Linked DNA regions of Anolis sagrei. The protein of the gene in region 1 interacts with the protein of each later gene in a pairwise test. Links are inferred from orthologs where the notes say so. Each region holds a gene or a part of one and is shown in the gene's direction. Other genes may lie near its edges.

The links.
Region 2: the proteins of PBX3 (region 1) and PKNOX1 interact in a two-hybrid assay, tested with the Homo sapiens proteins (2 studies listed by BioGRID and IntAct). The link is inferred for Anolis sagrei from reciprocal best matches to the Homo sapiens genes PBX3 and PKNOX1.
Region 3: the proteins of PBX3 (region 1) and prenylated Rab acceptor protein 1 interact in a two-hybrid assay, tested with the Homo sapiens proteins (2 studies listed by BioGRID). The two-hybrid records come from large-scale screens. The link is inferred for Anolis sagrei from reciprocal best matches to the Homo sapiens genes PBX3 and RABAC1.
Region 4: the proteins of PBX3 (region 1) and MAL2 interact in a two-hybrid assay, tested with the Homo sapiens proteins (2 studies listed by BioGRID). The two-hybrid records come from large-scale screens. The link is inferred for Anolis sagrei from reciprocal best matches to the Homo sapiens genes PBX3 and MAL2.

What each region holds. Positions count from the first base shown.
Region 1 is NC_090031.1:6,688,825-6,696,587, forward strand, and holds the start of PBX3 (pre-B-cell leukemia transcription factor 3), read left to right. Parts: upstream 1-4,173; 5' UTR 4,174-6,288; coding exon 6,289-6,551; intron 6,552-7,763. UniProt on the Homo sapiens protein: Transcriptional activator that binds the sequence 5'-ATCAATCAA-3'.
Region 2 is NC_090023.1:75,238,182-75,246,529, forward strand, and holds the start of PKNOX1 (homeobox protein PKNOX1), read left to right. Parts: upstream 1-5,037; 5' UTR 5,038-5,218; intron 5,219-8,348. UniProt on the Homo sapiens protein: Activates transcription in the presence of PBX1A and HOXA1.
Region 3 is NC_090035.1:83,783,865-83,792,189, forward strand, and holds the start of prenylated Rab acceptor protein 1, read left to right. Parts: upstream 1-5,066; 5' UTR 5,067-5,171; intron 5,172-5,308; exon of another isoform or gene 5,309-5,365; intron 5,366-7,649; 5' UTR 7,650-7,660; coding exon 7,661-7,740; intron 7,741-8,325. Other genes in the region: cornifelin homolog, read left to right, coding at 1-62, 2,877-2,966. UniProt on the Homo sapiens protein: General Rab protein regulator required for vesicle formation from the Golgi complex. May control vesicle docking and fusion by mediating the action of Rab GTPases to the SNARE complexes.
Region 4 is NC_090024.1:22,145,775-22,153,610, reverse strand, and holds the start of MAL2 (protein MAL2), read left to right. Parts: upstream 1-4,644; 5' UTR 4,645-4,762; coding exon 4,763-4,903; intron 4,904-7,836. UniProt on the Homo sapiens protein: Member of the machinery of polarized transport. Required for the indirect transcytotic route at the step of the egress of the transcytosing cargo from perinuclear endosomes in order for it to travel to the apical surface via a raft-dependent pathway.

The sequences.
Region 1 (7,763 bases):
TATTAGTAGTAGTATATTACAATATTATTATAAAATATTGTTATATGGTATTATTGTTAGTATTATAATGTATTATATTATAATGTTATAAAATTATATGTAGACAAAATATGATATTATGTATTATATTATAATATTATTATAAATATTATATGTATATACAATGTTTTATTATCATAGCACAGTATTGAAAATATATATGAATACATATAATACATATAATACACATATATTATATGTAGACACAATATATTATTATCACAGCACAGTATTAGTATTATATATTATATTGTACTAAGCAATTATCAGTAGGAAATTAATATAATACTATTAGTATATTACAATATTATTATAAAATATTATATGGTTTTAATGTTATATATTATTATATTGTACTATACTACTATACTGCAATATTATTCAAAATATTGCATATATACTAAAATTGTGCTATGCTAATAATATAATACATTGTGTATACATAGAAGATTAATTATAATATTGTAATTATTAAAATATAATAATAATGTATATAATATCTAATAATATAATAATATAATACTAATATCTTGAATATACTACTACTGATAATAAATAACTGTATTATATGTATACACAACATATTGCTATAATAGCACAGTATTAATATTATATATTATATTCTACTATACCAGTATACTGCAATATTATTCATAATATTACATGTAATATTTCATGTATACTAGCATTGCGCTATGCTAATAATATAATATATTGTGTATACATAGAATATTAATTATAATATTATAATATAATAATACTATTATGTTAAATAGAATACTACTGATAATATATAACAATATATAATGATAATACTATTCATAAAATATAATTATAATATTATGTTGTAGTATAGTATTATTGGTTGGTAGGAACCGTCCTGAGTCCTTTTTGGGAAATAGAACGGTATTTAAATAATAATAACTATAATTATACGCTGTCAATAAAGAGCCCCCGGTGGCACAGTGGGTTAAAGCGCTGAGCTGCTGAAAGGTCAGCAATTTGGACCCAGAGAGCGGAGGGTGACCTCCCACTGTTAGTCCCAGCTTCTGCCAAACTTACAGTTCGAAAACATACAAATGTGAGTAGATGAATAGGTACCGCTTTTCTGGGAAGCTAACAGCGCACCATGCAGTCACGCTGGCCCCATGACCTTGGAGGTGTCTACGGACAATGCCGGCTCTTCAGCTTAAGAATGGAGATGAGCACCACCCGCCAGAGTCGGACAGGACTAGATGTAAGGTCAGGGGAACCTTTACCTTTTTAATTATATAATATATTGCGCTATATCATAAGTTGTAGTAAATATACTATATTATAACATCTTTATTATATTGTAATATATTATATTATAACATGCATATTAATATTGTGTTATATTATTTTAGTATTATTACATTACAATGTAAATATATTATATATATACACAATGTAATGTATAACACTAATATTGTCTATAATAACAATATATCGTGTAGACATAATATTGATAATACAATATAACACTAGTCATAATACAATATGATAAGACAAAAGAATAATATTGCAATATAGTAGTACTAATATATATAATGATAATACTGTTTTATTATTGTATATTTGTATAGTTTAAGAGATAGGACAGTATATAAAACATTATTATTATTATATGGTACCAGTAGATTAAGTAGCCCTCGGTGGCACAGCAGGTTAAACCGCTGATCTGCTGAAGTTGCTGACCAATAAGTTGGTGGGTCAAATCCAGCCTAGCAGTTCGAAAACATAGAAGTGTGAGTAGATCAATAGGTACCGCTTCTGTAGTATATAATTCTAATATTGTGCTATGCCAATAGTAAGGTAAAGGTATTCGCTTGACATTAAGTCAAATCGCACCCGACTCTGGGGTGTGGTGCTCATCTCCATTTCTAAGCTGAAGAGCCGGCGTTGTCCGTAGACACCTCCTAGGTCATGTGGCTGGCATGACTGCGTGGAGCGCCATTAACTTCCCGCCGAAGCAGTACCTATTGATCTTCTCACATTTGCATGTTTTCGAACTGCTAGGTTGGCAGAAGCTGGGGCTGACAGCGGAAGCTCATGCCGCTCCCCGGATTTGAACCTGCGACCTTTTGGTCAACGAGTTCAGCAGCTCAGCGTTTTAACCCACTGCACCACCGGGGGCATATAATAATGTAATGTTATTATATTATTATACATTATGTAATGCAATTATATTACTATATATTATATAATGTAATTATATTATTATGTAATTATATATATTGTGTACTGTAATTATATTATTATATATTATATTTATGTAATTATATTACTAGCATAGCAATATTAATATATTATCTTAATGTAATTACAGTGTTAGCATATATTAATATATTATTTTAATGTAATTATATTGTTAGTATAAGAATAATATATTTATTTATTTACTTTATTTATATACCGCTTTTCTCAGCCCTCAGGCGACTCAAAGCAGTGAATATATAATATATATAATATATTATTACCATAGTAATATTATATTAATATATTATATTAATGTAATTATATTATTACCATAGTAATATTATATTAATATATTATATTAATGTAATTATATTATTACCATAGTAATACTATATGAATATATTATATTAATGTAATTATATTATTACTATATGAATATATTATATAAACGGTTCCGGCCCAAAATACCTTGAGTACCGCATCTTGGCCTACGAGCCCACGAGGACCTTGAGATCATCCGGGGAGGCCCTTCTCTCGGTCCCGCCTGCCTCACAGGCACGCTTGGCGGGGACGAGAGAGCGGGCCTTCTCGGTGGTGGCCCCCCGGCTGTGGAACTCCCTCCCCGCTGAAATTAGACAGGCGCCTTCCCTCATGGCCTTCCGTAAGGGCTTGAAGACCTGGCTCTTCGAAAAGGCCTTCAATTAAGTGCTATGTTTTGGAATGACCACCGGAATGGACTATGACCACGAGATTGATTATGACCCTAACAAGACGAAGCGGATTTTTAGTTTAATTAGTTGTGTGTTAGTTGATGTGCGTCATGATCTTGATTTACTGTAACTGTTGTCTTTATGTTCTATGTTCTGTACACCGCCACGAGTCGCCTTCGGGCTGAGAGTGGCGGTTAACAAATGCAAATAATAAATAAATAAATAAATAAATAATAAATATTATTACCATAGTAATATATTATATTAATGTAATTATATTGTTACTATATAAATATATTATATTAATGTAATTATATTGTTACTATATGAATATATTATATTAATGTAATTATATCGTTACTATATGAATATATTATATTAATGTAATTATATTATTACTATATGAATATATTATATTAATGTAATTATATTGTTACTATATAAATATATTATATTAATGTAATTATATTGTTACTATATGAATATATTATATTAATGTAGTTATATCGTTACTATATGAATATATTATATTAATGTAATTATATTGTTACTATATGAATATATTATATTAATGTAATTATATTATTACTATATTAATATATTATATTAATGTAATTGTATTGTTACTATATTAATATATTATATTAATGTAATTATATTGTTACCATAGTAATAATTTATTATATTAATGTAATTATATTATTACTATATTAATATATTATATTAATCCAATTATATTGTTAGCATAGTAATATATTAATATATTATATTAATATATTATTACCCTAGTAATATATTATATTAATCTAATTATATTGTTAGCATAGTAATAATATATTAATATATTTAATGTAATATTGTTAAGCATAGTAATAATATTACATTGTTATTAAATGAGTAAATTGATAAAACTTATTATTTGGAGGGGGAAAAAAAACCTGGCTATAGAATGCAGTTCAATGCAATGCAGTTTATGCCCAAACTGGATTCTCTAGCAGTGTAGATCCAGCTGGATGGGAAGGAGTGCATGAGAGAGGGGGCGTGGCTTTGAGCCGAGGCGAAGGCGGTGCTTGAAAGCCCGGAGCATTCCAAAGGGGCGTGGCTTGGAGCTTGGGGGCGTGGCTTGGGGCGGCCTCTCAGAGCGAGGGGGCGTGGCTTGGGAGGGCCGAGAAGCCCGGGGAAAGGGGCGTGGCTTGGAGGCCGAGAAGCCCGGGGAAAGGGGCGTGGCTTCGACCAGCTCGCTTGCTTTTCTCTCTCTCTCTGGGCTCGCCTCCTTTGACACGTCTGCAGGGTGAGTGAGTGGCATTGGCAGCCTGTCAATCCCTCACCAAAGCGGCCATCAAACAACATAAAACACACACCACAGTCACTGGGGCTGCTGCTGCTGGGCTCATAAATTGCAGCTGGATGGGGTTTCTCCCCCCTCTTTGGCCCTCCTCCCCCTTTTGCAAAGCCGGTGTGCCATTAATTGCAATTTTTCCCGTCTTTGCAAAAGAGAGACTTTGCTTCTTTTTTTGCCCCCTTCCTTAAAAAAAAAGAATTTTATTTTTTCCAATTTTTTTTTGCACAACTTGCAAACTTTGCTGGCGATTTTCCCTCTCCTCCTCCTCTTTTTTCTTTTTTGCAAGCAAACCAGACGCTGGGAAATTTTGTGATGTGGCTTTTTTTGCATTTTTCCCCCTTCTTGCCGTTCGGAGCAACGATGTGATTTTTTTTCTCTCCAAATAATTGGATTGCAAAGCGGTTTGACTATTTTATTATTTTTTTGCAAATCTATTTTCTGGGAAAATAACACCATTTCTTCCCTCGATGAAGGAAAAAAACAAATCCAAGAGGAAGAGAGAGCGAGAAAGAACCACCGGCAACTAACTGTTGTCAACTTTGGAGCCTTTGCCTTCCCGAAATATCTACATTTTTGTGGTGCTGAAGGAGAATTGCAAGAGGGCGAAGGATGAAGAAAGAAGCTTGAGGGAGAAGAGGAAGAAGAAGAACACAAAGCCAATCGTTGGAAAGAGCTCTGCTGGGAGCTGCTGGGACTCAGCATCTTCCTCCTCCTCCTCCTCTTTCTCTTCCTCCAGATTGCTGGGACTGACTCAAGGAAAGCCGCCCAAGGATGAGCAAAGGAGCCCAGCGTTGAGAGAAGAGCTCCCAGGAAAGAAAGAAGGAAGGAAGAGAAACCCAGGAGAGGAAGCCCTGCTTTTGCCTGCTTCGATTTGCCTGGAAAGGAGCAGCCAGGACTGAGCTCGGACTTGCATCTGCCTCCTCTCCTTCTCCTCTTTCCTCTTCTTTTTATTCTTCCTTCACCTCTTCTTCCTCCTCTTCCCTCTTCATCTTCTTCCCATCTTTCCTCCTTCTCTTTTCCACCCTTTTCTCCTTCCTCTTCTCTTTAGTCTTCTCCACTTCTTCCTCCTTTCCGCCTCCTCCTTCCCTTCCTTCTCCTCTTCTTTTTAATCTTCCTCCTCTTCATTTTTCCTTTCTCTTCTTCTTTCCTCTTCTTCCTCTTCCTCCTCTTTTTCTTCCTCCTCTTTTCCATCTCCTTTTTCTTTTCCTCCTCTTCTTTTTATTCCTCCTCCTCTTCTTCCTTCTTTCCTTCCTCCACTTCATCTTCTTCTTCCTCTTCCTTCCCTTCTTCCCCTTCTTCCTCATCTTTTTATTCTTCCTCCTCTTCTTCCTTCTCTCTTTCCTCCTCCTCTTCATCTGCTTTCTCTTTTCCTTTTCTCCTCTCTTCTTTCCCTTTCTTCTTCAACCCCTTTTTATACTTCCTCCTCTTCCTCCTCTTCATCTTCTTCCTCCTCCACTTCCTCCTTCCCCTTTTCTTCCTCTTCTTTCTTCTTTCCCTTCCTTTTTCTCCCTCTTCTTTTTATTCTTCCTTCTCTCCTTCCTCCTCTCCTTCCTCCTTTCCTTCTTCTTTCCCTTCTTACCTCTTCCTCTTCTTTTGATTCTTCCTCCTCCTCCTCTCCTTCCTCTTTTCCTTCTTCTTTCCCTTCTTACCTCTTCCTCTTCTTTTGATTCTTCCTCCTCCTCCTCTCCTTCCTCTTTTTTTCTTCCTCTTCTTCCTCCTCTTGATCTTCAATACTCTCACTCCTCTTCCTCCTTCTCTTGCTTCTCATCCTCCTCCTCCTTCCTCCTCTTCATCTCCTTCTTCCTCCTCCTTCCCTTCTTCCTGATCTTCTTCCTCCTCTTTCTTCTCTTTCCTCTTCTTTTTCCTTTTCATTCACCTCTTCAGCTTCTTCTTCTTCCTCCTCCTCCTCCTCCTCCTCCTCCTCCCCATCTTCTTCTTCCCCTTCCTTCCTCCTCCTTCCTGCTCTCTTCCTGGGCCATGGACGAGCAGACGAGGATGCTGCAGACCTTGGCGGGGGTGAACCTGGCGGGGCACCCGGTTCCCGGGGGAGGGATGCCCTTGCCCCCCCCTCACGGGCACGAGGTCCCCGACGGTGGCGACGGGCGCAAGCAGGACATCGGCGACATCCTCCACCAGATCATGACCATCACCGACCAGAGCCTGGACGAGGCGCAAGCAAAGTTGGTCCCCCCCACTTCTCCAGCAGACAAACCCCCCCTTCCCTCCCCAAAAACCCAAAAGTAATACCCTTGTGTTTTAAATGTGCCTGATGCGCTTCGGTCCCCTTCTGTCTCTGTCTGTGTGCATGAGTGTGTGTATGTGTGTATATGGACCCACAAAATATGGACCCACCTGTGCGGGTTCCTTTGAGGTCAAGATTCCCATCTTATGATTAGTGTGAGTGTAGGTATGTGTGGATAAGGTGTCCTCTCCAGAATGCATGCTCAGAAGGATGGGTAGTCTGTGATGCTCAGAAGGATGGATATTCAGGTCGATGCTGTTGGTTTCATCCATTCCTCCCTTACTGTTTTGCAAGGTCCAAAATGGCCCATCGATGCACTGCTCCTTTTTCTCAGAGCCAAAAGTTGCCCACCTTTATGAGATGCAAGCAAAGTTGCTCTCCTTCAGGAAAGGAATCTGCTTCACAATACATCTCCCCATCCACTCCATCCTTGCATGTGTTTGTGTTGACACAAACATTGAGAGGGACATCTCATCCATATCTGTGGACATGAGATGTCCCTCTCCAAAAATGCATCCTTCCTTCAGCAAGGAGAAGTCCCCATAATCATGCATAAGATGGGATGTTTACCTAGCCGATCCCATTTTCCATTGCCATTTCGATATGGTCCAAAATTGTCACCTGGCAAGGGGTTGGACTAGATGACCCTTGTGGTCTCTTCCAATTCTGTCATTCGACCTCCCTCCCTTCCAGACAGGCCCTATATTATATCCCATGGTCTGATTCCATGTTGTCTGCTTTAGACTGGATTATATGAGTCCGCACTGCCAGATAATATGGGATAAACAAAAAAAACATGTGATTGGATCTTGGGATATATAGGGCCTGCCTGGAAGGGCCTCAAGTTTCTATATTATTGGGGATATTTTGGGAGAGGATATATATATATATACATACATATATATCTCTCCAATTGCAGCTTTTCTGCTTTGAACTGGATTATATGAGTCCACACTGCCAGATAATCTGGGATAAACAGAAAACATGTGATTGGATCTTGGGATATATAGGGCCTGCCTGGAAGGGCCCCAAATTTCTCTATTATTAGGAAGATTTTGAGAGGAGAGATTGCCAATAATATACACACATCCGATCGCATATTTTCTACTTTGAACTGGATTCTATGAGTCCACACTTCCAGATAAACTGGGATAAACAGAAAATGTGATCGGATCTTGAAATATATAGGGCCTGTTTGGTAGAGCCCCAA
Region 2 (8,348 bases), on another chromosome or scaffold:
GAGTAATGTATATTTGCATATAGAAAGGTACATCCTTGACTCTAGCCCATCACTGGAAACATGCACATTAAGACCAAGCTGGCATTAGTGAACTGCAGCTGGTGGGACCATCTGCCAAGCAGTGCTATAAAACTTTACAAATATTGGGGCTTATAGTTGTTGATTAAACCTAAACATAGTTTAGTTAAAGGAGGCTGGAAGCAAGAGGGAATGTGTGATTTAAAGCTGCTTCTTTACTTACATCCCATCCCAATCTCTGGGTTCAGGAAGGCTTACAAGAAGTTTAAAACCATACTTAGTACTTATTTTAATCATGGGAAATGTTGCAACTACTACACAAATGGAAAGTGTGCTGCCATTAGTTCCTCCTATCCTCCTTTTGATCATTAGGATTTACCAACACAATCTTATTGCAACAGCAAAAACCTATGAAGGTCAAGGGCTCTGGGAGAGTTAATCACAGCAACTGGCTCTGATCCCCTCCCCTCTGGAGATCCGCCAAAGCCTAAGCATTTTCCAAAGGCAATGCCAGCCCTTTTTCATTTCGACTGGCATTGGATGACTGGGAGTTAAGCCAATAGGGAGCTATTTTAAAATTGGCCATGTCTTTCCTCTATGCCCTCATTTTTTCAATCTTTGTTGTAAATATGCTCCTTGCTTTTTTCAGGCTGGGTGAGAAACCCAGGAGAATCAATGCAGAATAATTATTTATTCTGAAAGGATACCATCAAAAAACTCAGAAAGAGATCATCAGAATGAACTCAGCTGCCAAATTTGCTCTGCCTGTTTGCTGGCTGCCATATTGAATTTCCCCCATTGAGTCCCAAGAATCATCAAACTATGGAAACTGCCAGCATATGGATACAGAAACATTGGAAGCTGGTTTCTTCTTTGCTCTTATGCACTTTTAGTATACATCCTTTTCTGGGAATAAGTCCAATGGACCTAGTAGAACATAGTTTGAAGTAGACACATATAGGACTTCACTGAAAGTTACAAAAACAAATTATGGCACCACTCACAAATTTTGTAAAAAATACAATGATTTTTCTAAAATGGAACAAGGCCTTTCACATTCACTTAAGTGTGAGCCAAGTAACCAGACTTGTTATGTCTGGTGCTTGGTTCATTTTAAATCAGTGTTCAGCTTCTTACTGTATTTTTGTAATAAAAATGTGTTACTCATATCTTATTAGTATATGGATATGATGAAACCAATAATATTAAGTTCTCCTTCTGTTTATTTATATCCCATTTTTTCTCTCCACAAGGAGACTCAAAGCTGAATATCCTATTATTCTGAGAATTCCAGCCATTGTGAAATACCTACAATATGATGACAATGCCAACAAATGCTATATTGTTAAACTTAATGATTAGAAACAAACTGTACCAAGAACAAAATGGTGCAACATTGTAAAACAGTAGTTTTAAAATGAGTGTTATTTAGCATTGGGTGTTGCTGAATTCAGGTCACTTTTTCCAATTCATAGATTACACATTTTTGTGAATCACAGTAATGTTGTTGCAATATTTAGGTCATGAACTAGTTCGTTATGAATAGGTCTTCATAGACAACAGATTAGGGAAATATTCACAGATATAAGTTATTGGTGTATTAATGTATTGGAAAATAAAACAGCAGTTAAATCCAAAAGTCAGAATACAAAACATAAGATGACTAAATTATCTTTTATTCTCACCTTTTTGTATTTCATAGCCAGATACAGTACATGATTCTATAAATACAAAGAATTTAACAACTAAAAAAATGAATGTTCCACATCTCTATTGATTTTTAGTGTTTATTTTAACAAGTCTCTAACTCTTTGCAAAAACATGTTTATCCACTTGCATAGAAATGAGCACAGAGTCATTAAAATGACCTCTACATACTATTTTAACCACATTAAACTTCTTAGTTATTCATATTGGGAATTTCTAATTTGAAGTTATGGGTACCCTCTAGTAAAAGCACTGACGCCCCAGAAAGTTAATATGAAAAGTATCTACTACTATTGTTTCATCCATAAATTTGTCAAAGTGGACTCCGAGGATACAAAAACAGCTCCAAGGTTTTATGATGGGTAACACACTCTAATTTTGAATGAGTACAGTGTTTTGGGATTGTGTACTTCCAGGTAGATATGTGGTAAGTTGGCTCCCAAGCAACCCTGAAAAGAAAACAAGCTCGGGTTTGATTTTTAGAGACAGACACACAAACACATACCATGGATAATGAAACACATAGATGGCAAAATCCAGAGTTGCTTATTGGAATTGTGCATATACCATATAAAATTCCAAAAAGCAACTCTCATTTTTTTTTCATGCTGTGATTGATTGAATCCATTGATGCAAAATCTGTAGACATATAATGGCAAAATCAAGGTTATTATATACACACACTCTCTCTTATCCATAAAGACACACAGGGAGGGCTCACTACTTAGCAAACTGTCAGCTGGAATTCTTCGCACAGGCCTCTCATGAAACCAGTGGTTCCCAACCTGTGGTCCATGGACCATCAATGGTCTCCAAGAACGAAAATATGACATGTAGCAATGAGAACGACTGGACTTACAAAATCCTCTTATAGTGCTGAAGCAATGGGTATGTCAGGAAGGGAGAGGCTGACTACCAACGAAAGGTGTGACAAACCTCCTGACTGCTGCTTTTCCTCTTCCTCCCTCTACCTGAACGGAGCTGTTCCATGTGGCGCCTGGAAACAGAGGCACCTTGGTGTCATTTTTAGCCCTGTTCCTGGGGTTATTTGGGGTGCTGATTCAGAAAATTGCATTGCATAGATCACATCAGCTCTAGATTATTAAATATGGGTGAGCAGATGGCGACTCCTGGATGGCATATGTTCTGTATCAGAAACTAGAGCTGATGTGGTCTATCCAATGCAATTTTCTGAATCAACACCCCAAATATTATTTATTTAAAAGTTTTGTATACCGGTCTTCTCACCTCTCTTGAGGGACTCAGACCAGTTTCCAACCATAATATCACATACAATCAATAAAACATCGCAATACATATTACAGTAAAACATTAAAACAGCAATTACAATCAATAACTATAATGGTCAGTCGTTACACTAAAATCGCTGCTCATCATCCTCCATCCATATCTCAGGGTGTTGGCTCACTCGTCAAATGCCTGTCTCCATAACCAAGTCTTCACCTGTTTCCTAAATGTCAGGCTAGAAGGGGCGGTTCTGATCCCACTCGAGGCCGGTGGGACTGAGAGCAGGGCCTCTCCAGACGATCTTAATAATCTTGATGGTTCATACATTCAGAGAGGTAAACAGGGCCGGAGTCGTTTAGGGCTTTATAGGTTAACACCAGCACTTTGAATTGTGCTCGGAAGCTAATTGGCAGCCAGTGGAGCTGGTGTAACAGCGGAGTGGTGTGCTCCCTGTACCCAGCATCCGTTAGTAGTCTGGCTGCCGAGCGTTGGACTAGCTGCAGCTTCCGGCCAGTCTTCAGAGGCAACCCCACGTAGAGAGCGTTGCAGCAGTCTAAACGGGATGTAACCAAAGTGTGGACCACCGTGGCCAAGTCAGACTTCCCAAGGTACGGGCGCAGCTGGCGCACAAGTTTTAATTGTGCAAAAGCTCCCCTGACCACCGCCGAAACCTGGGGCTCCAGGCTCAGCGATGAATCTAGAACTGGATCTAAAATTGACCAAAACTGATTCTTAACCCTTTTGGAACTAATGTTGAAGGGTGGTCCCTGGTAAAAAAAAAAAAAAAAAAACAAGGTTGGGAAACACTGCACTAAGCTCTGTGGCCTGAATTTCAAATAAGCCTACATTAAAAAGTAAAGGTAAATGTTTTCCTGACATTAAGTCTAGTTGTGTTCGACTCCGGTGGGTGGTGCTCATCTCAATTTCTAAGTCGAAGAGCTGGTGTTGTCCATAGACATGGTCATGTGGCCAGCATGACTGCAGGGAACATCATTACCTTCTCGCAGAAGCGGTACCTATTGAGCTACTCACATCTGCATGTTTCGTATCATTTCCTGCCCCCAACCAACACTGTTTTAAAACCACAGGTATAATGATTTTCACTTTTTTCCTTCTGAAAGGAATCACATTGTTACAGATCTCAATGTATTTCAACAGTTAAATTTGGGCAACCAGGAAAGGGTTGCTATAAGACCCTCTCCATTACCCTTATCTGTATGTAAATAAATATATATGTATTCATTCAGATGTAAACATGCATATAAAATATGGGTTCATAAATCCGTATGTGTGTATATGTATATATGTGTGTGTGTATTTATCAATGTATATATTGTTTATATAAATGTGTGTATGTGTATATACCCAGTGGGTCAAAAGTCACAAAGGGGTTTCAATACCAGGTGCGCTAAAAGTTACAAAGGGTTTCAAAATTCATTTATTTTTTAATTTATAATTCCACGGCATCATATACAGCGGGTGTGGGAAACTCTAGCCCTCCATCTGTTTTGGACTTCAACTCCCACAATTCCTAACAGCCTCAGGCCGCTTAAGCAGCTGAGAGGGAAAAGGAAAGGGCCTGGGGCTGTTAGGAATTGTGGGAGTTGAAGTCCAAAACAGATGGAGGGCTAGAGTTTGGCCAGGCCTGCCTCAGATGCCGAAATTTGCCCATGTATTCATATATAGAGAGAGGGCGTGAGAGGAGCAGAGGAATCCTAAGCCGTTAACAGTCCCTTGCTCCTCTTTCCCTTTGTTGCCTGCACATTCCTTTAAAGAGAATGGGAGTACTGGGTAGCCCATCGTGTCGCGACAGTGATGGGCGCTGCGACCCACCTGCTGGCCACTTAGCCTTACGATAAGGCCTCATGACGTCACGCGCAGCTTCCCTCAAGCCGAAGGAACCTATTAAAGGCCTGGGAGAGGGGGCGTGGCCAACCCGCCCACCTCATGAGTATTCATAAACCCGAGGCGGTCGCGCGCCGAGGCCCCGATGGGGCGGGCCCGTGGAGGGGAAGGCCCCGCCCCTTCCAGCCTAGGCCGGCGCCGAGGTGGGCGTACCTCCAAGCGCGACGTCGCCCACTCCTTCGCTGAATATTGATGAGGCGTCTCGCGGAGCGTGCTGTCGTGTCAGCCCGGCGTGGCTCCCGATTGGACGAGGGCGTGTGTGCGCGGTGACGCGCGTCGCGGCGGTGCGGGTCCCGATTGCTGCAGCCGCTTGTCAGTGTGACGAAGATTGGCACCCAAGGTAAGCGCTGTCACTCAAACCTGCTCCTAGCCAGCCAGCCAAGCAGCCAGCCATCCATCCATCACGGCGCGCCCGACGCCGCCGCCGCCAGTGCCGGCCGCCTTGGCTGAGCCGCGCAAACGGACCCGGGGGTGTGGGGCGGGGGAGGCGAGGCCGACATACGGAACAGCAGGGCGGGGGCATCCTCGAGTGGCGGGGCGGGAGGGAGGGGGGGTTGGCCGAGGGGCGTCGGCAGGCAGGCAGGCAGGCGCGAGGGAGGGGGAGTGAGGAAAATTCTGGAACAGCCGTTGCTCTTGTAGGAGGGGGAGGGGGAGTCGGCGGGAGCGCGCGCGCGCCCGGGAACGAAGGTGTCGCGCGCCTCAGGGGGTGGAGGAGGGGGAGGAGGAGGGGAGAGAAAAGGGCAACAGCTGTTTGTGGCGCGAGGCGACGCGGGGGGTGGGGGGGGGGAAGAGCAGAGGCAGAGGAGGGCGAGATTTAAAGGGGCCGCTTTCAGGGACATTCCGATAGACCTGGAGCAGCGGGGAGAGAGGCAGCAGCTGCTTGTGCTTCTCCTCCTCCCAAGTGCCCCTCCCTCCCCCCCTTCCTCGAGTGCGGCTTGGGCTCCTTTGGCCCTCAGCCCGCGGGGAAGGAAAGCCAACCCTGAGGGAAAGGCCCTTCCTCCTCCTTGTCGCCTTTCCGTTGTTTCAGATTCCCTTTTCACCTGTAAACCGAGGGCCCTTCCATACAGCCATATAAACCAGAATACCAAGGCAGAAAATCCAACAATGTTTGCTTTGAACGGGGACATCTGAGTCCACACACTGCCATATGTCCCATATATATAAAGCAGAAAATGTGGGATTTTATTCAACTGGGTGAAAGGGGCCTGACATTATGAGACGTGCGAAGGTTTACATAATATGGCTGTGAACAATAAAACATGAGGTGTTTCACCTCCTTTCTGTCCCCTTTCCTTACTTATCTCCTTTCAGATATATATATTATATATGAGGAATATTTGTGTCTCATGTCAACTCCTCCCAAAACGGATTGAATGTTGAAAGATTCTGGAGATAATCCACCAAGCATTATTATTCCTCCTTTGTGATTATTTTTGTGAGTGGTAATAAATGTTGTATATATTTATATTTGAGGCATCCTGTGATGTCGCACTGCCACCCCCTGACAGGAACAAAAGGCTTCTAAATACAATAGAGTCTCGCTTATCCAATATAAACGGGCTGGCAGAATGTCGGATAATAAGGGATGAAGGAAAAGTTTATAAATGTAAAATTACATTATAATTTTACAAATTAAGTACCAAAACATGTTTTAAACCAGGGGTCCTCAAACTAAGGCCCGAGGGCCAGATGCGGCCCTCCAAGGTCATTTATCCAGCCCTCACTCAGTGTCAACCTAAATCTGAAATGTCTTGAAAGCACACAACAACAACAATCCTATCTCATCAACCACACTTCCCATTGAAATACTAATAAGTTTATATTTGCTAAAATTGTTCTTCATTTTAATTATTGTATTGTTTTTAAGTGGGTTTTTTTTGCACTGCAAATAAGATACGTGCAGTGTGCATAGGAATTCATTCATGTCTTTTTTTCAAATTATAATCCGGCCCTCCAACAGTTTGAGAGACTGTGACTTGGCCCTCTGTAGCCACATAATGCTTATGGCAGGTCTTTGTGCAGACTTCTACTGAAATAAATTCATTTCTGGAATTCTGGTCACAAAAAAGGTTTGAGGACCCCTGTTTTAAACAAATCGACAGAAAAAGCAGTTCAATACATTGTAACGTTGTGTAGTAATTACTGTATTTACAAATTTAGCACCAAAACATTGCAATGTATTGAAACAGCTGTGGATCTGGGTGGGAGGCAAACTGCGTTGGGTAATACAGAACATTGGATGAGCAAGGTTGGATAAGCGAGACTCCACTGTAACAGGGCCAGCACCCCTTATCTGGAAATCAGAAAGCGCAATTGTCCAAATGGCCGGCTAAGATAGGATTGTCCAAATAGCTGGCTAAGAAAATATGGGTTCATAAATCCATATGTGTATATATGTTTGTATCAATCTATATATTGCTTATATAAAACACTTGCTTTCTGATGCTTTAACATACATTGATTTTGTTTCATACATAAAATTATTGAAAAACATCATACAATAGACTCAGATCAACCCTGGCAAAAAGTTGAAGAAATAATATGTAATAATAATAATGAACTTTATTTCTAGACCACCATCTCTCCTCAGAGGGACTCAGGCGGTTTACATATAAAAAGGCAAACATTCAATGCCTCAAAATGGGTACAAACACATCAAAATAATACAGGGTGATGGAGGGTAAACTTACAACAAAGGAATTAAATCTCAAATATAATAAAAAATTAAAATAAAAGCATTGAAATAAAATAAAAACAAGGACAATCCACTAAGACATAAAAACAAAAACATAAGTAAATATTTCAATATACACTCTAAAAGCAAGTTAAGATACATTACATTAGTGGTTATCAACCTGTGGGTCCCCAGATGTTTTGGGCTTCAACTCCCAGAATTCCTAACAGCTGGTAAACTGACTGGGATTTCTGGGAGTTGTAGGCCAAAACACTTGGTTGAGAACCACTGCATTACAGTAAAAATGGCTGACATCGCTGCTTTGTTTAAGATGTCTCATAACATAAAATACAAGTGGATTAGCCACCATTCAAAGTGCCCTGGTCCTCCCCTCTATACACTAAAATACATTTTTAAAACTTTAAAACTATTTTTTATAAAACAGTAATAATAATAATAATAATAATAATAAACTTTATAACCCACCCTATCTCCCCAAAGCAGGGGTTCTCAACGTTCCTAATGCCGCGACCCCTTAATATAGTTCCTCATGTTGTGGTGACCCCCAACCATTACATTATTTTCATTGCTACTTCATAATTGTAATTTTGCCACTGTTATGAATTGTTATGTAAATATCTGATATGCAGGGTGTATTCTCATTTACTGGACCAAATTTGGCACAAATACCCAATATGCCCAAATTTGAATACTGGTGGAGTTGGAATGGGAGGATTGATTTTGTCATTTGGGAGTTGTAGTTGCTGGGATTTATAGTTCACCTACATTCAAAGAG
Region 3 (8,325 bases), on another chromosome or scaffold:
CCTACCTGCCCGGCAGCCTCGTCGCCCTCCGCACCGGCGTCCGGGAGAGGTACCACATCGAGGTGAGGCAAGGGAGCCCAGGGAGGTCATCCAGCCCAACCCCCTTCTGACAGGAAGGAAGGCACCACCCCATCCCTCCCCACAGATGGACATGCAGCTTTTGCTTAAAGACTTACATAGAAGCCTAGAGTTGGAAGGCACCCCCAAAGGCCATCCAGTCCAACCCCTTTTTTGATAGGCAGGTGGCCATCCAGCCCATATTTCAAGGCTTCCATACAATGCTAGAGTTGGAAGGGGCCCCAAGGTGCATCTAATAATAAGGGGCATCATCTGATCCCTCCCAACAGATGTCCATCTAGCCCATGTTTCAAGGCTTCCATAGAATGCTAGAGTTGGAAGGGGACCCAAGGTGCATCTAATAATGATGATGATGATGATGATGATAATAATAATAATAATAATAATATAATAGAACCACAGAATGCTAGAGTTTTAAAGGATCCCCAGGTGCATCTAATAATAAGGGGCATCATCTGACCCCTCCCAACAGATGTCCATCCAACCTATGTTTGAAGGCTTCCATAGCATGCTAGAGTTGGAAGGGGCCCCAAGGTGCATCTAATGATGATGATGATGATGATGATGATACAACCATAGAATGCTAGAGTTGTACAGGACTCCAACATGCATCTAATAATAAGGGGCATCATCTGATCCCTCCCAACAGATGTCCATCTAGCCCATGTTTCAAGGCTTCCATAGAATGCTAGAGTTGGAAGGGGACCCAAGGTGCATATAACAACAACAACAACAACAACAACAACAACAATAACAGAACCACAGAATGCTAGAGTTGGAAGGGACCCCAAGGTGCAAATAATAATAATAATAATAATAATAATAATAACAACAACAACAACAGAACCACAGAATGCTAGAGTTGGAAGGGACCCCAAGGTGCAAATAATAATAATAATAATAATAATAACAACAACAACAACAGAACCACAGAATGCTAGAGTTGGAAGGGACCCCAAGGTGCAAATAATAATAATAATAATAATAATAACAACAACAACAACAACAGAACCACAGAATGCTAGAGTTGGAAGGGACCCCAAGGTGCAAATAATAATAATAATAATAATAATAATAACAACAACAACAACAACAGAACCACAGAATGCTAGAGTTGGAAGGGACCCCAAGGTGCAAATAATAATAATAATAATAATAACAACAACAACAACAACAACAGAACCACAGAATGCTAGAGTTGGAAGGGGCCCCAAGGTGCAAATAATAATAATAATAATAATAATAATAATAATAATAACAACAACAACAACAACAACAACAACAACAGAACCACAGAATGCTGGAGTTGGAAGGGACCCCAAGGTGCAAATAATAATAAGGTATATCATCTGATCCCTCCCAGCAGATGTCCATCCAGCCTGTGTTTCAAGGCTTCCATAGAACGCTAGAGTTGAAAGGGGCCCCAAGGTGCATCTAGGACCTCATCACACTAGAGTGTCTATCCACTTTCTGGTTGCTCCCTCCTGTAGAATTCTGGGGTTTGTAGTTTAGGGAGGGGCCTTTAAACTACAGCGCCAGAGAGGTCCTGGGCCTCCCTAAACTACAAACCCCAGAATGCTGCAGGAGGGAGCAACTGGATGCTCTAGTGTGATGAGGTACCAATAATAATGATGATAATAATAATAGAACCACAGAATGCTTGAGTAATAAGGAACCCCCACGGTGCATCTAATAATAATGATGATGATGATGATGATGATGATAATAGAACGATAGAATGCTAGAGTAATAAGGGACCCCACAGTGCATCTAATAATAATAATAATAATAATAATAATAATAATAATAATAATAGAACCATAGAATGCTAGAGTTTTAAGGGACCCCACGGTGCATCTAATAATGATGATGATGATGATGATGATGATGATAATAATAATAATAATAATAATAATAATAGAACCATAGAATGCTTGAGTAATAAGGGATCCCCACAGTGCATCTAGTAATAATGATAATAATAATAATAATAATAATAATAATAATAATAATAACACTAGAACCATAGAATGCTAGAGTTTTAAGGGATCCCACGGTGCATCTAATAATAATGATGATGATAATAATAATAATAATAATAATAATAGAACCATAGAATGCTTGAGCAATAAGGGACCCCCACAGTGCATCTAATAATAATGATAATAATAATAATAATGATGATAATGATAATAATAGAACCACAGAATCCTAGAGTTGGAAGGGACCCCAAGATGCATCTAATAATAAGGTGCATCATTTGATCCCTCCCAACAGATGCCCATCCATCCTGTGTTGAAGACCTCCATAGAATCCCAGATTTGGAAGGGACCCCAAAGGGGGATCTGGTCCAACCCCATTCTGTCTGGCAGGAAGACCCCATCCAATCCCTCTTTACAGAGGGCCATTCAGCCAAAGCCAAATGGCCATAGATATCATATAGTTAGATAAGATGCTAGATATATAATTGAATCCTAGAGTTGAAAGAGACCCTCATCCGATCCCTTTTTACAGAGGGCCATTCAGCCAAAGCCAGATTGCCGTAGATCTCATATAGAAGAGGGATAAGATGCTAGATACATAATTGAATCCTAGAGTTGAAAGAGACCCTCAAGGGCCACCCAGTCCAACTGCTAGGAATACACCACTCGATTCATCCTGACAGAGGGCTGTCCACATCTGTGACAACAACAACAACAACAACCACAACATTCTGCTTTGAGTCTTTTTTAAGAGAGGAAACAAGGATATAATTCATAATTAATGATGATAATAATAACAATAATGTTTCCCCGCAGGGCTCCATCTGTTCGGACTGGGTGGTGATGTCCTGCTGCCCGCTCTGCGGACTCTGCCAGCTCTCCAGGGAACTCAACAACAAGAACTGAGGACGCGAAGCCGGAATCCGAACACAGGACCACATTCCCACCACACAAACAGGAGTCTTAATAAATAAAATGTATACCTTGGTATAGATAATTTCCCCGACCTGTGCCTCTTTTTTGTTTCATTGGGGGAAGATTTGAGATGAATGTGGAGCTGGTGGGGCCAAACGATGACTCCCATGGTTCCTGTAAGAAATCCACATATAAAATGAGTTAACTTGGGGGTCCCTTTAACACATATAGTGCTACGATTTCACATCCTATGGAATCCTGGGACTTCTATTTATTTATTTATTTATTTATTTATTTAACTGGATTTTTTTAGTGCTGTATGTGTTTAATTCTATTTTAATGTTTGTGTTTTTGTATATTTTAATGTATACTAAGATCTTTATATCAAGCCACTTTGAGTTCTAGAAATAATAATAGTAATAATAATAATAATAATAAGCCAGTCAAGGTGGTCCCAGTGGTGATCGGCACACTGGGCGCAGCGCCTCGAGACCTTGGCCTGCACTAAAACACAATCGGCGTTGACAAGATTACCACCTGCCAGCTGCAGAAGGCCACCTTACTGGGATCTGCACACATTATTCGGCGATACATCACACAGTCCTAGAAACTTGGGAAGGGTCCGATGTGTGATCCAAGACAACAGCCAGCGGAGCGTCTGCTGTGGACTCATGTTGTGGTGTTTCTAATAATAATAATAATAATAATAATGGAAATGAAATATACAAATACCAATAATAATAATAATAATAATGTAGGAAAATGAAATATATCAATATAATAATAATGTCAATATAACGGTAATAAAGTAGGAAATGAAATATACCAATAATAATAATAATGTAGGAAAATGAAATATGCCAATAATAATATTAGTAGTAGTAATGTAGGGAAATGAACTGTATCAATAATAATAATAATAATAATAATGTAGGAAAATGAAATATATCAATAATAATAATAATGTAGTAAAATGAAATATATAATTAATAATAATAATAGTAATGTAGGGAAATGAAATATATCAATGCTAATAATAATGCCAATATAACAGTAATAATGTTGGAAAATGAAATATACCAATAATAATAATAACAATGTAGGAAAATGAAATATACTAATATAATACCACTAATATTGTAAGAATATGAAAATAATAATAATAATAATAATAATAATAATGATATAGGAAAATGAAATATCCCAGTAATAATAATAATAATGTAGGAAAATGAAATATATTAATATAAGACTACTAATACTGTAAGAATATGAAAATAATAATAATAATAATGAGATAGGAAAATGAAATATGCCAATAATAATATTAGTAGTAGTAATGTAGGGAAATTAACTGTATCAATAATAATATTAATAATAATAATGTAGGAAAATGAAATATATCAATAATAATAACAATAATGTAAGAAAATGAAGTATATAATTAATAATAATAATAGTAATGTAGGGAAATGAAATATATCAATGCTAATAATAATGTCAATATAACAGTAATAATGTAGGAAAATGAAATATACCAATAATAATAATAATGTCAATATAACAGTAATAATGTTGGAAAATGAAATATACCAATAATAATAATAACAATGTAGGAAAATGAAATATACTAATATAATACCACTAATATTGTAAGAATATGAAAATAATAATAATAATAATAATGATATAGGAAAATGAAATATCCCAGTAATAATAATAATAATAATGTAGGAAAATGAAATATATTAATATAAGACTACTAATATTGTAAGAATATGAAAATAATAATAATGATGATATAGGAAAATGAAATATGCCCATAATAATAATAATAATAACAGGAAGAAGGAATAAAATATTCCAAGAGAAAGAGAGAAGAAGAAAAAGGAAAATAAATAGGGAAAAGATAAATAAGGAAATTAGTTCCTAAAGGAGCAAATATTCCATTGCCTAAAGGGAAACAACACAACTCTAGGCCAGAGAGGCTTCTGTGGCTGAGGAGAAAGCCAGGCCTGCTGGGAGTGGTAGTCCGCGCCGCTCTGGAGCCAGGCCTGCGTCTTCCTTGGCGAGGGAGGCGCGAGACTACACTTCCCGGCAGGCTCCGCGGCCAGGGGAGGCGGTGTCACTTTAGCCCCGCCCCCTCCGGGTTGCCACGCAGGCTTGGCGCCGCCGGACGGACCGAGGAGAAAGCAGGTGAGCGCTCCCTCGCGAGGAGGGGGGAGGCGGTTGCTAGGGGCAACCAGAGCATCCTGGAGGGCCACGACTAGGCCCGAAGCCCTTGGTTTCCTGTTGTGGGGACCCGCCTTGGGGCCCCATCTTCTGGGCGAAGGCAGGCAGGGGCTTTTTGGGAGGAGGGGGTCTCTCTCCAGGAAAACCTCCCCTGCAAGGTAGGCCCCAAAAGCCTTGCCCCTATAGCTCTGTCTGTACATTGTACATGCCATAGAGATCTAGCTATAGAGATATACATACACACAGGTACATTGCATGCCCCAGGCATCTCTCTCTCTCTCACTATCTCCCTCTTGTCCTTGTTCCTGTCTGTATGTCCATTGAATGACCCCAACCATATATATATATACGCACACACATATACATATACACATGTACATTGAATGCCCCAGACCTACACACACACACATATGCACACACACATATATATTGAATATATAGTTACACACACATATATGGATAAACATACATATATATAGGTAGATATATATACACACACACATTGATATACATACATGTACATTGAATACCCCAGACCTACACACCCTCACACACATATGCACACACACATATATATTGAATATATACTTACACACACATATACGGATAAACATACATATATATAGGTAGATATATACACACACACACATTGATATACATACATGTACATTGAATACCCCAGACCTACACACCCTCACACACATATGCACACACACACATATATATTGAATATATAGTTACACACACATATACAGATAAACGTACATATATATAGGTAGATATATACACACACATATTGATATACATACACACATGTACATTGAATGCCCCAGATCTATACACATACACATGTATGCACATACACATATATATTGAATATAGACATACTTACTACTGTTGCGGTTAGGTGATCCCTCGTTTTCCGAGGAGGATTGTCTTCCAGTGTTCTTGTGGGTCCGTATGTGGCTGTGGAGCCCTATTCTTGACCCGCATCTTCTCCCTCAGTGAGGGCATTGGTTTCCAGGTGGAAGGCGGTCTCGGTCGGGGTTGGCTTGACACGCCTTCCTCCTGGCACGTTTCTCTCTTTCACTCTCCATTTGTGCCTCTTCAAATTCTGCAGCACTGCTGGTCACAGCCGATCTCCAGCTGGAGCGCTCAAGGGCCAGGGCTTCCCAGTTCTCAGTGTCTATGCCAGAGGTTTGTAGGTTGGCTTTGAGCCCATCTTTCAATCTCTTTTCCTGTCCTCCAACATTCCGTTTTCCGTTCTTGAATTCGGAGTAGAGTAACTGCTTTGGGAGATGGTGGTTGGGCATCCAGACAACGTGGCTGGTCCAGTGGAGTTGATGGCGGAGGACTATCGCTTCAATGCTGGTGGTCTTTGCTTCTTCTTCCAGCATGTTGACATTTCCCTGCCTGTCTTCCCAGGAGATTTGCAGGATTTTCCGAAGGCAGCGGTGATGGAATCGTTCCAGGAGTTGCATGTGACATCTGTAGACAGTCCATGTTTTGCAGGCGTAAAGCAGGGTTTGGAGGACAATAGCTTTATCAACAAGCACCTTGGTATCCCTACGGATGTCTCAGAAAAATGCTGCACTTAGAAAAATGCTGCACTTGCAGAGTTCAGGCGGTGTTGTATTTCTGTGTCGATGTTGACTTTGGTGGAGAGGTGGCTGCCAAGGGAGCGGAAATGGTCCACATTTTCTAATGAAACTGTATCTCTGGCATTGGGGAGGGGGTGGCTGGTGACTGCTGGAACAGCACTTTGGTTTTCTCGATGTTCAGTGACAGGCCGAGCTTCTCGTATGCTTCTGCAAAGGTGTTTAGTTAGAGTGGCTTGTAGATCTTCTTCTGAATGCGCACATACGACGTTGTCATCAGCATACTGGAGACATACTTACACATATGTGTAGATAAACATATATATAGGTAGATATATTCACATGTAAGATGGCTTTTAAGCAACCTTTAATGTGAATATAAGTGATTTTAATTTTTGTATATATTTATGGTTTTATGTCCTGGCATTGAATGTTTGCCGTATATATGTTGTGCTCTGCCCTGAGTCCCCTAAGTTGAGGTGTAAAGGGCAGAATATAAATGTTTTAAATATATATTGCACATACACATATATTGATATATACACACATATATAGGTAAATATGCACACACATTAACATAACTCAAAAACCACTGGATGAATGGACACCAAATTTGGACACAATACACTTATCAGGCCAACGAGCGACCATCACTCAGAAAAACACTGAAAAACACAACAGAAGGGACTTAAAAAGCAAAAAACAATACATTACAATGCATCCGCAGAACCACATATACACGGATATACAAACACATATATACAGACTGGGCCACAGCAACATGTGGCAGGGGATGGCTAGTATATAAAATAAATACTAACTTTACTCTCTTTTTGTCCTACAGACGGGATCAGAATGGCGAGCAAAACCAGTCCGGAGCATCTCTTCAATCCGGCCACGGAGATGGAGACGGCCGGGACAGTGCTGGGCACCAAGTAAGGGTCAAGGAATATTATGACATGATGCATCCATCCTTCCACATACCATCATTTGGGGGAAAGGATGCTTTTAGGCCCAGAAATCATTTATGGGGCACTTCCTGCACCTGTTGATAGATAGATAAAAAGATAGATAGATAGATAGATAGATAGATAGATAGATACCCTGTTTCCCCAAAAATAAGACAGCGTATTATATTAATTTCAGCTCCCAAAGATGCACTACGTCAGTGTTTCTCAACCTGGGGGTCGGGATCCCTGAGGGGGTCATGAGGGGGTGTCAGAGGGGTCGCCAAAGACCATCAGAAAACACAATATTTTCTGGTGGGCATCGGGATTCTGTGTGGGAAGTTTGGCCCAATTCTATCATTTGTGGGGTTCAGAATGCTCTTTGATTGCAGGTGAACTATAAATCCCAGCAACTACACCTCCCAAATGATAAAAATCAATCCAGCCCCCGACCCCACCATTATTCAAATTTGGACGTATCAGGTATTTGTGCCATATTTGGTCCGGTGAATGAAAATACATTCTGAATATCAGATATTTACATTACATTTTAAACAGAGGCTGGATGGCCAT
Region 4 (7,836 bases), on another chromosome or scaffold:
GGCAGAAGTTGAGGCTAAGAGCAGGAGCTCACCCCGCCATCCGGATTTAAACCAGTGACCTTTTGGCCATCAAGTTCAGCAGCTCAGTGGTTTAACCCAATGCACCACCAGGGGCTCCAATTATTAATAAATAAATAAATAAATAAATAAATAAATAAATAAATATTAATTCATTTATTATAATTAAATAAATATTATTATAGTATTAATATTTATTGTTGTTGTTTATTCATTCAGTCATTTCCTACTCTTTGTGACCTCTTGGACCAGCCCACACCAGAGCTCCCTGTTGGCCGTCACCACCCCCAGCTCCTTCAGAATCAAGCCAGTCACTTCAAGGATGCCATCTATCCATCTTGACCTTGGTTGGCCTCTCTTCCTTTTTCCTTCCATTTTCCCCAGCATCACTGTCTTCTCTAAGCTTCCCTGTCTTACTTCATCTTTGCCTCTGATATCCTTCACTCCAATGAGCACTTGGGCTTTATTTCCTGAAGTATGGACCGGTTGGATCTTCTCGTGGTCCAAGGCACTATCAGAATTAATATTAATATTATTTAGGATTATTATTAATAGATCCTAACTGTGAGAGCCACTGTATGGAAGTTGGAGCAGTCTTGGCCCTTATTTCTCATGCCAGTAAGGTAATGCTCAAGATCCTGCAAGGAAGACTCCAGCAATACATGGAGCGAGAGTTGCCAGATGTTCAAGCTGGGTTTAGAAAAGGCAGAGGAACGAGAGACCAGATTGCCAATATCCGCTGGATAATGGAGAAAGGCAGGGAGTTTCAGAAAAACATCTACTTCTGCTTCATTGACTATTTTAAAGCCTTTGACTGTGTGGATCATAATAAATTGTGGCAAGTTCTTGGTGGGATGGGCATCCCAAGCCACCTTGTCTCTCTCCTGAGGAATCTGTACAAGGACCAAGTAGCAACAGTCAGAACTGACCACGGAACAACAGACTGGTTCAAGATTGGGAAAGGCGTACGGCAAGGCTGCATCCTCTCACCCAACCTTTTTAACTTGTATGCAGAACACATCATGCGATGTGCAGGGCTTGATGAATGCAAAGCTGGGGTGAAAATTGCTGGAAGAAACATTAACAACCTCAGATATGCAGATGACACCACTCTGATGGCCAAAAGCGAGGAGGAGCTGAGGAGCCTTCTAATCAAGGCGAAAGAAGAAAGTGCAAAAGCTGGGTTGCAGCTAAACGTCAAAAAAACCAAGATTATGGCAACAAGAATGATTGACAACTGGAAAATAGAGGGAGAAACCGTGGAGGCCGTGACAGACTTTGTATTTCTAGGTGCAAAGATTACTACAGATGCAGACTGTGGCCAGGAAATCAGAAGACGGTTCCTTCTGGGGAGGAGAGCAATGTCCAGTCTCGATAAAATAGTGAAGAGTAGAGACATCAGACTGGCAACAAAGATCCGCCTAGTCAAAGCCATGGTATTCCCTGTAGTCACCTACGGATGTGAGAGCTGGACCTTAGGGAAGGCTGAGCGAAGGAAGATCGATGCTTTTGAGCTGTGGTGTTGGAGGAAAGTGCTGAGAGTGCCTTGGACTGCAAGAAGATCTGGAGGGAAAGATACTAGAGACAAAGTTGAAGTACTTTGGCCACATCATGAGGAGACAGCAAAGCCTAGAGAAGACAATTATGCTGGGGAAAGTGGAAGGCAAAAGGAAGAGGGGCCGACCAAGGGCAAGATGGATGGATGGCATCCTTGAAGTGACTGGACTGACCTTGAGGGAGCTGGGGGTGGTAACGGCCGACAGGGAGCTCTGGCGTGGGCTGGTCCATGAGGTCACGAAGAGTCGGAGACGACTGAACGAATGAACAACAACAACTGTGAGAGCTGTTCAGTAGTGGAAGTCTCTGCCCTGGAGTGTGGTGGAGGCTCCTTCTTTGGGGACTTTTAAACAAAGGCTTGATAGCGATTTCCCTGCTTCTTGGCAGGGGGTTGGACAGGATGGCCCACAAGGTCTCTTCCAACTCTATGATTCTATGAATTTATAATAATTAATTTATTATAATTACCAATAAATTACTCCTCCAACTGCAGCATTGTCTGTCTCACATTAGAGCAGCTTCTTTGCAAGCATCGTAAGGGGTGCAGTGTCACCTGTACGCAGATGACGTCCAACTCTGTCACTCCTTTCCACCTGCTACTAAGAAGGCTATTCAGGTCCTGAACCGCTGCTTGGCCGCTGTGATGGTCTGGATGAGGGTGAACAAATTGAAATTGAATCCAGACAAGACAGAGGTCCTCCTGGTCAGTTGCAAGGCCAAACAGGGCATAGGGTTACAGCCTGTGTTGGATGGGGTTACACTCCCCCTGAAGACACAGGTTCACAGCATGGGTGTGATTCTGGATTCATCGCTGAGCCTGGAACCTCAGGTTTCAGCGGTGACCAGGGGAGCTTTTGCACAGTTAAAGCTTGTGCACCAGCTGCGCCCATACCTTGGGAAGCCTGACTTGGCCACGGTAGTCCATGCTCTGGTTACATCCCATATAGACTACTGCAATGCGCTCTACACGGGATTGCCTTTGAAGACTGTCCGGAAGTTTCAATTGGTCCAATGGACGGCAGCCAGATTGCGCATACAACTCCTCTGTTGCGCCAGCTCCACTGGCTGCAAGTCTGCTACCGGGCATAATTCAAAGTGCTGGCTTTAGCCTATAAAGCCCTCAGCGGTTCTGGTTCAACTTACCTGTCTGAATGCATCTTCTCTTATGAATCTGCTAGGACTTTAAGATCGTCTGGAGGAGGCCCTGCTCTCGATCCCACCTGAGTCACAAATATGTTTGGCGGGGATGAGAGACAGGGCCTTCCCAATGGTGGCCCCTCGGCTATGGAACGCCCATCTTACAGACATTAGATCGGGGGGCCCTCCCTCTTAACATTCCGGAAAATGCAGTGTAAAAGATATAGGAACTTTGAACCACTGGACAACGAGATGGATAATGTTTTAAACTAGGAGGTGCAAATGTTTTATGTTTTTATTACTTTTGTTTGGTTTTATACTATGTACTAGCTTTACCCACCACGCGCTGCTGTGGCCAACCTTCCCTCCCTATTTCTCTTCTTCTTTCCCTCCTTCCTTCGCTCCCTCTTTCTGTCCTTCCTCCCTTTTTTCTTTCCTTCTCTCCTTCCTTCCTTCCTTCCTTCTCTACCTCTTTCCTTCCCCCTTTTTTCTTTTCATCCCTCTTTTTCTGCTTTCTTCCTTCTCTACCTTTTTCCTTCCTTCCTTCGCTTTTTGCTTCTATACATACTTCTGCCTTTCCTTCTTTCCTTCCCTCCCTCTCTCTCCTTTCTTCCTTCTCTACCTCTTTCTTTCCTTCCCCCTTTTTCTTTTATCCCTCTTTTTCTCCTTTCTTCCTTCTCTACCTCTTTCCTTCCTTCCTTCGCTTTTTGCTTCTATCCAGACTTCTGTCTTTCCTTCTATCCTTCCCTCCCTCTTTCTCTCCTTTCTTCCTTCTCTACTTCTTTCCTTCCTTTCCTTTTTTCTTACTTTCTCTTCCTTCTCTACCTCTTTCTTTCCTTCCCCCTTTTTCTTTTATCCCTCTTTTTCTCCTTTCTTCCTTCTCTACCTCTTTCCTTCCTTCCTTCACTCTTTACTTCCATGCTTCCTCTCTTTCCATCTTTCTTTACCTCCCTCTTTCTCTCCTTTCTTTCTTTCTCTCCTTTCCTCCCTCTTCCTTCCCTAAATGACCCTGTATCATCATTTAGCTTTTCGTCACTTAGCTTTTTGGGGTTTTTAAGTCCTTTCCACTTTTTTTGGGGGGGGGGGTATGAATGATGGTCACTCATTGGTCTGTTAGGGGTATAGTGCCCAAATTTCGTGTCAATTCGTCTAGTGGTTTTTGAGTTATGTTAATCCCACAAACGAACATTACTTTTATTATTTATATAGATTATTGTGTCAGGCTACACAGAGAAGCCATTGAAATCCACAAGCATGTGGACAATTTCAACAGAAAGGAAGAAACCATGAAAATGAACAAAATCTGGCTACCAGTATTAGAAAAAACTCTAAAATTACAACAGCAAAACAACAGAGAGGAAACAAACAGGCACATAAAATCACTCTCAACAAAAGAGTCCCCCCAGGCACTTCCAAGCCATTGAATGCTAATCAAGGTGATCAGCTGAAACATTCACACCTAGCCCCAGCAGACAAGAGTCCTTTGTCTCACCCAGGTCATTCCACAGATATATAAACCCATTTTTCCTACTTCCAACAGACCTCACTACCTCTGAGGATGCTTGCCATAGATGCAGGCGAAACGTCAGGAGAAAAATTGCCTCCAGAACATGGCCATATAGCCCGGAGAAACCTACAACAACCCAATGTGTTAAATGTTTTATGATGTTCTTGGGCATGGAACCGTTGCTCTGTCAGTCGCCCTGAGTTGCCTGAGGGCTGAGAAGGGCGGTATACAAATAGAGTAAGCACAGAAATCAATAACCCTTGTGGGGAGCCTTCCTGAGATCCAGGTGTGGAGAAGGCCAAGGAGGGAGGGAGAGCAGGTGAGAAAAAATTAGAAGGTGGGAGCAAAAGTAGCGTCGGGAGGAGGAGGAGGAGAAAAGGAGGCGGTGGCGGAGGAGAGGGCGGCGCCCGACAAAAGGCGCCCTCCTCCACCTGCGCTTCTCCTCCCTCTTTCTCTCCCTTCTCACCTTCCCTGCTTGCCTCCCTCGTCGGAGGCCACGTCCGGGCCTTGCTCCCCTCCCTCCCTCCTTCCTTCCCTGCCGCCATGCTCCCTGCCCGCGGCGGAGGGGGCTCCATGCCGCCGCCTCCCACCGCTACCGCCCACTACCCGCCACCTCGCATCACCCTCCCTTCGGGGCTGGAGATCCTGCGCACCTACTCGGGGGCCTTCATCTGCCTGGAGATCGTAAGTCCACCAAGGAGGGGAGAGGAGGGGAGGGGAGGGGGGTCTCCCTCGGGATAAACGCTCAACAAGTGGGAGAGAGAGAGAGAGCACGCTTTGGCTGCACCCACTCTGTACATTAAGTCATGCACCCACTTGTTGGCACCGCTCGAATTGCCCTGGCTCAAAGGCTGAAGAGAATTGTAGCTTGACGTGGTCTTCAGCCATGGCCTTCAAGACATGGATTCAGACAGTATTATTTCAACAGTGTAGATCAGGAATGGGCAAACTTGGGCCCTCCAGGTGTTTTGGACTTCAACTCCCACCATTCCTAACAGCCGGTAGGCTGTTAGGAATGGTGGGAGTTGGAGTCCAAAACACCTGGAGGGCCCACGTTTGCCCATGCTTGGTGTAGATGGGGAGGGGAGGGGAGGAGGGGTCTCCATCGGGATAAACACTCAACAAGTGGGAGATAAAGAGAGAGAGCACGCTTTGGATGCACCCACTCTGTACATTAAGCCATGTGCCCACTTGTTGGCACCGCTCGAATTGCCCTGGCTCAGTGGCGTGGAGTCCAGAGAATTGTAGCTTGACATGGTCTTCAGCCATGGCCTTCAAGACATGGATTCAGACAGGATTATTTCAACAGTGTAGATCAGGAATGGGCAAACTTGGTGTAGATGGGGAGGGGAGGGGAGGAGGGGTCTCCATCGGGATAAACGCTCAACAAGTGGGAGATAGAGAGAGAGAGCACGCTTTGGATGTATCCACTCTGTACATTAAGCCATGCGTCCACTTGTTGGAACCGCTCGAATTGCCCTGGCTCAAAAGCGTGGAGTCAAGAGAATTGTAGCTTGACGTGGTCTTCAGCCATGGCCTTCAAGACATGGAGTCAGACAGTATTATTTCAACAGTGTAGATCAGGAATGGGCAAACTTGGGCCCTCCAGGTGTTTTGGACTTCAACTCCCACCATTCCTAACAGCCAGTAGGCTGTTAGGAATGGTGGGAGTTGGAGCCCAAAACACCTGGAGGGCCCAGTTTGTCCATGCTTGGTGTAGATTTTTTGAGCTCTTGATCGACTCTCTGGTCTTATTTGCATCTGTTGTTGGCAGGTTGGATGTCAAACCAACCAACCAACCAACCCACGGGTTCTTCTATTTCTATGGGTGTCAAATTAATGCAGTTTGACACAAGTTGGACAGCCCTGGCTCAATGCTATAATAATAATAATTATCATTATTATTATTATTGTATTTGGGCCCCCGGTGACGCAGTGGGTTAAAGCACTGAGCTGCTGAGCTTCTTGACCAAAAGGTCGCAGGATCAATTCCAGGGAGTGGCGTGAGCTTCTGCTGTCAGCCCTAGCTTCTGCCAACCTAGCAGTTCGAAAACATGCAAATGTGAGTCGATCAATAGGTACCACTCCGGCGGGAAGGTAACAGCGCTCCATGCAGTCATGCTGGCCACATGACCTTGGAGGTGTCTATGGACAACGCTGGCTCTTCGGCTTAGAAATGGAGATGAGCACCAGACCCCAGAGTCAGACATGACTGCACTTAATGTCTGGGGACAACCTTTACCTTTTTTTATTATTATTGTACGGTTTTCTGGCATTGTATATTTCTGCCGCTTCTGTGATTGTTCATACCACGTGACAGTCACATTGAGGAAAAACAGCAGGAAAAACTCAGCTGTTATCAGGACCTCAAAATCGAACTGCAAAGGCTCTGGCATAAATCAGTACAGGTGGTACCAGTGGTCATGGGCACACTGGGTGCTGTGCCAAAAGATCTTAGCCGGCATTTGGAAACAATAAACATTGACTAGATCACAGTCTGTCAACTGCAAAAAGCCACCTTACTTGGATCTGCACACATCATTCAAAAATACATCACACAGTCCTAGATGCTTGGGAAGTGTTCGACTTGTGATTTTGTGATATGAACTTTACTTAGGCGATCCCTCGTAGTCCAAGGATGATGGTCCTCCAAGTTCAGTGTCCTGGCAGTGGGTCTGTAGGTGACTGTGGAGCCCTATTCTTGATCTGCATCTTCTTCCACTGTGAGGGCATTGGTTTCCAGGTGGAAGGCGGTCTTGGTCGGGGTTAGCTTGACACGCCTTCCTTTTGGCACGTTTCTCTCTTTCACCCTCCATTCGTGCCTCTTCAAATTCTGCAGCACTGCTGGTCACAGCTGACCTCTAGCTGGAGCTGTGTTATGAAATCCAGCACATATATCTCGTTTGCTGTGACAAACTGTGGTTTTGTGTCAGAATAATAATAATCATCATCTTCTTCTTCTTCTTTATTTATACCCCACCACCATCTCCCCAAAGGGGACTTGGGGTGGCTAACATGAGGCCAAACCCAAAAATACAATACAAAGAGACAAAAATTACATTAAAATAAGATACATGAAGTAACAAAATAAAATAAACATTTACAAAATAGCATAATGAGGAGATAGAACACAGTGGGCGAACCAAATGCACAGGATAAAAAAAAGGATAAAACCCTGGATGAGATAATAGTGGGAAAGTGTATTTCTGAGGGAGGAGCTTATAAGGGGTGAACAGTTGGGTTAGACCTAATGCTATGGGAGTTGTAACTTTATCTGGCTTTTAGCCTTTTCTGCCTAAGGGCCCTTCCAGACAGGCTTCATATCCCAGAATCTGATTCCAGGTTTTCTGTTTATCCCAGATTATCTGGCAGTGGGGACTCATATAATCCAGTTTAAAGCAGAAAACCTGGGATCAGAACCTGGCATATTAAGGCCAGGATCTAGAAGGGCCCTAAGAGGGCATCTACAATGCAATTTTGATGCCACTTAAACTATCCTCTTCAATGTGATGATATCACTGGACTTGTCATTTTATATGACCTTTCGGGTTCTTTACCAAAGAGGACTGGTGCCTCACCAAACTATGAGTCTCAGCATTCTGTAGTATTGAGCCATT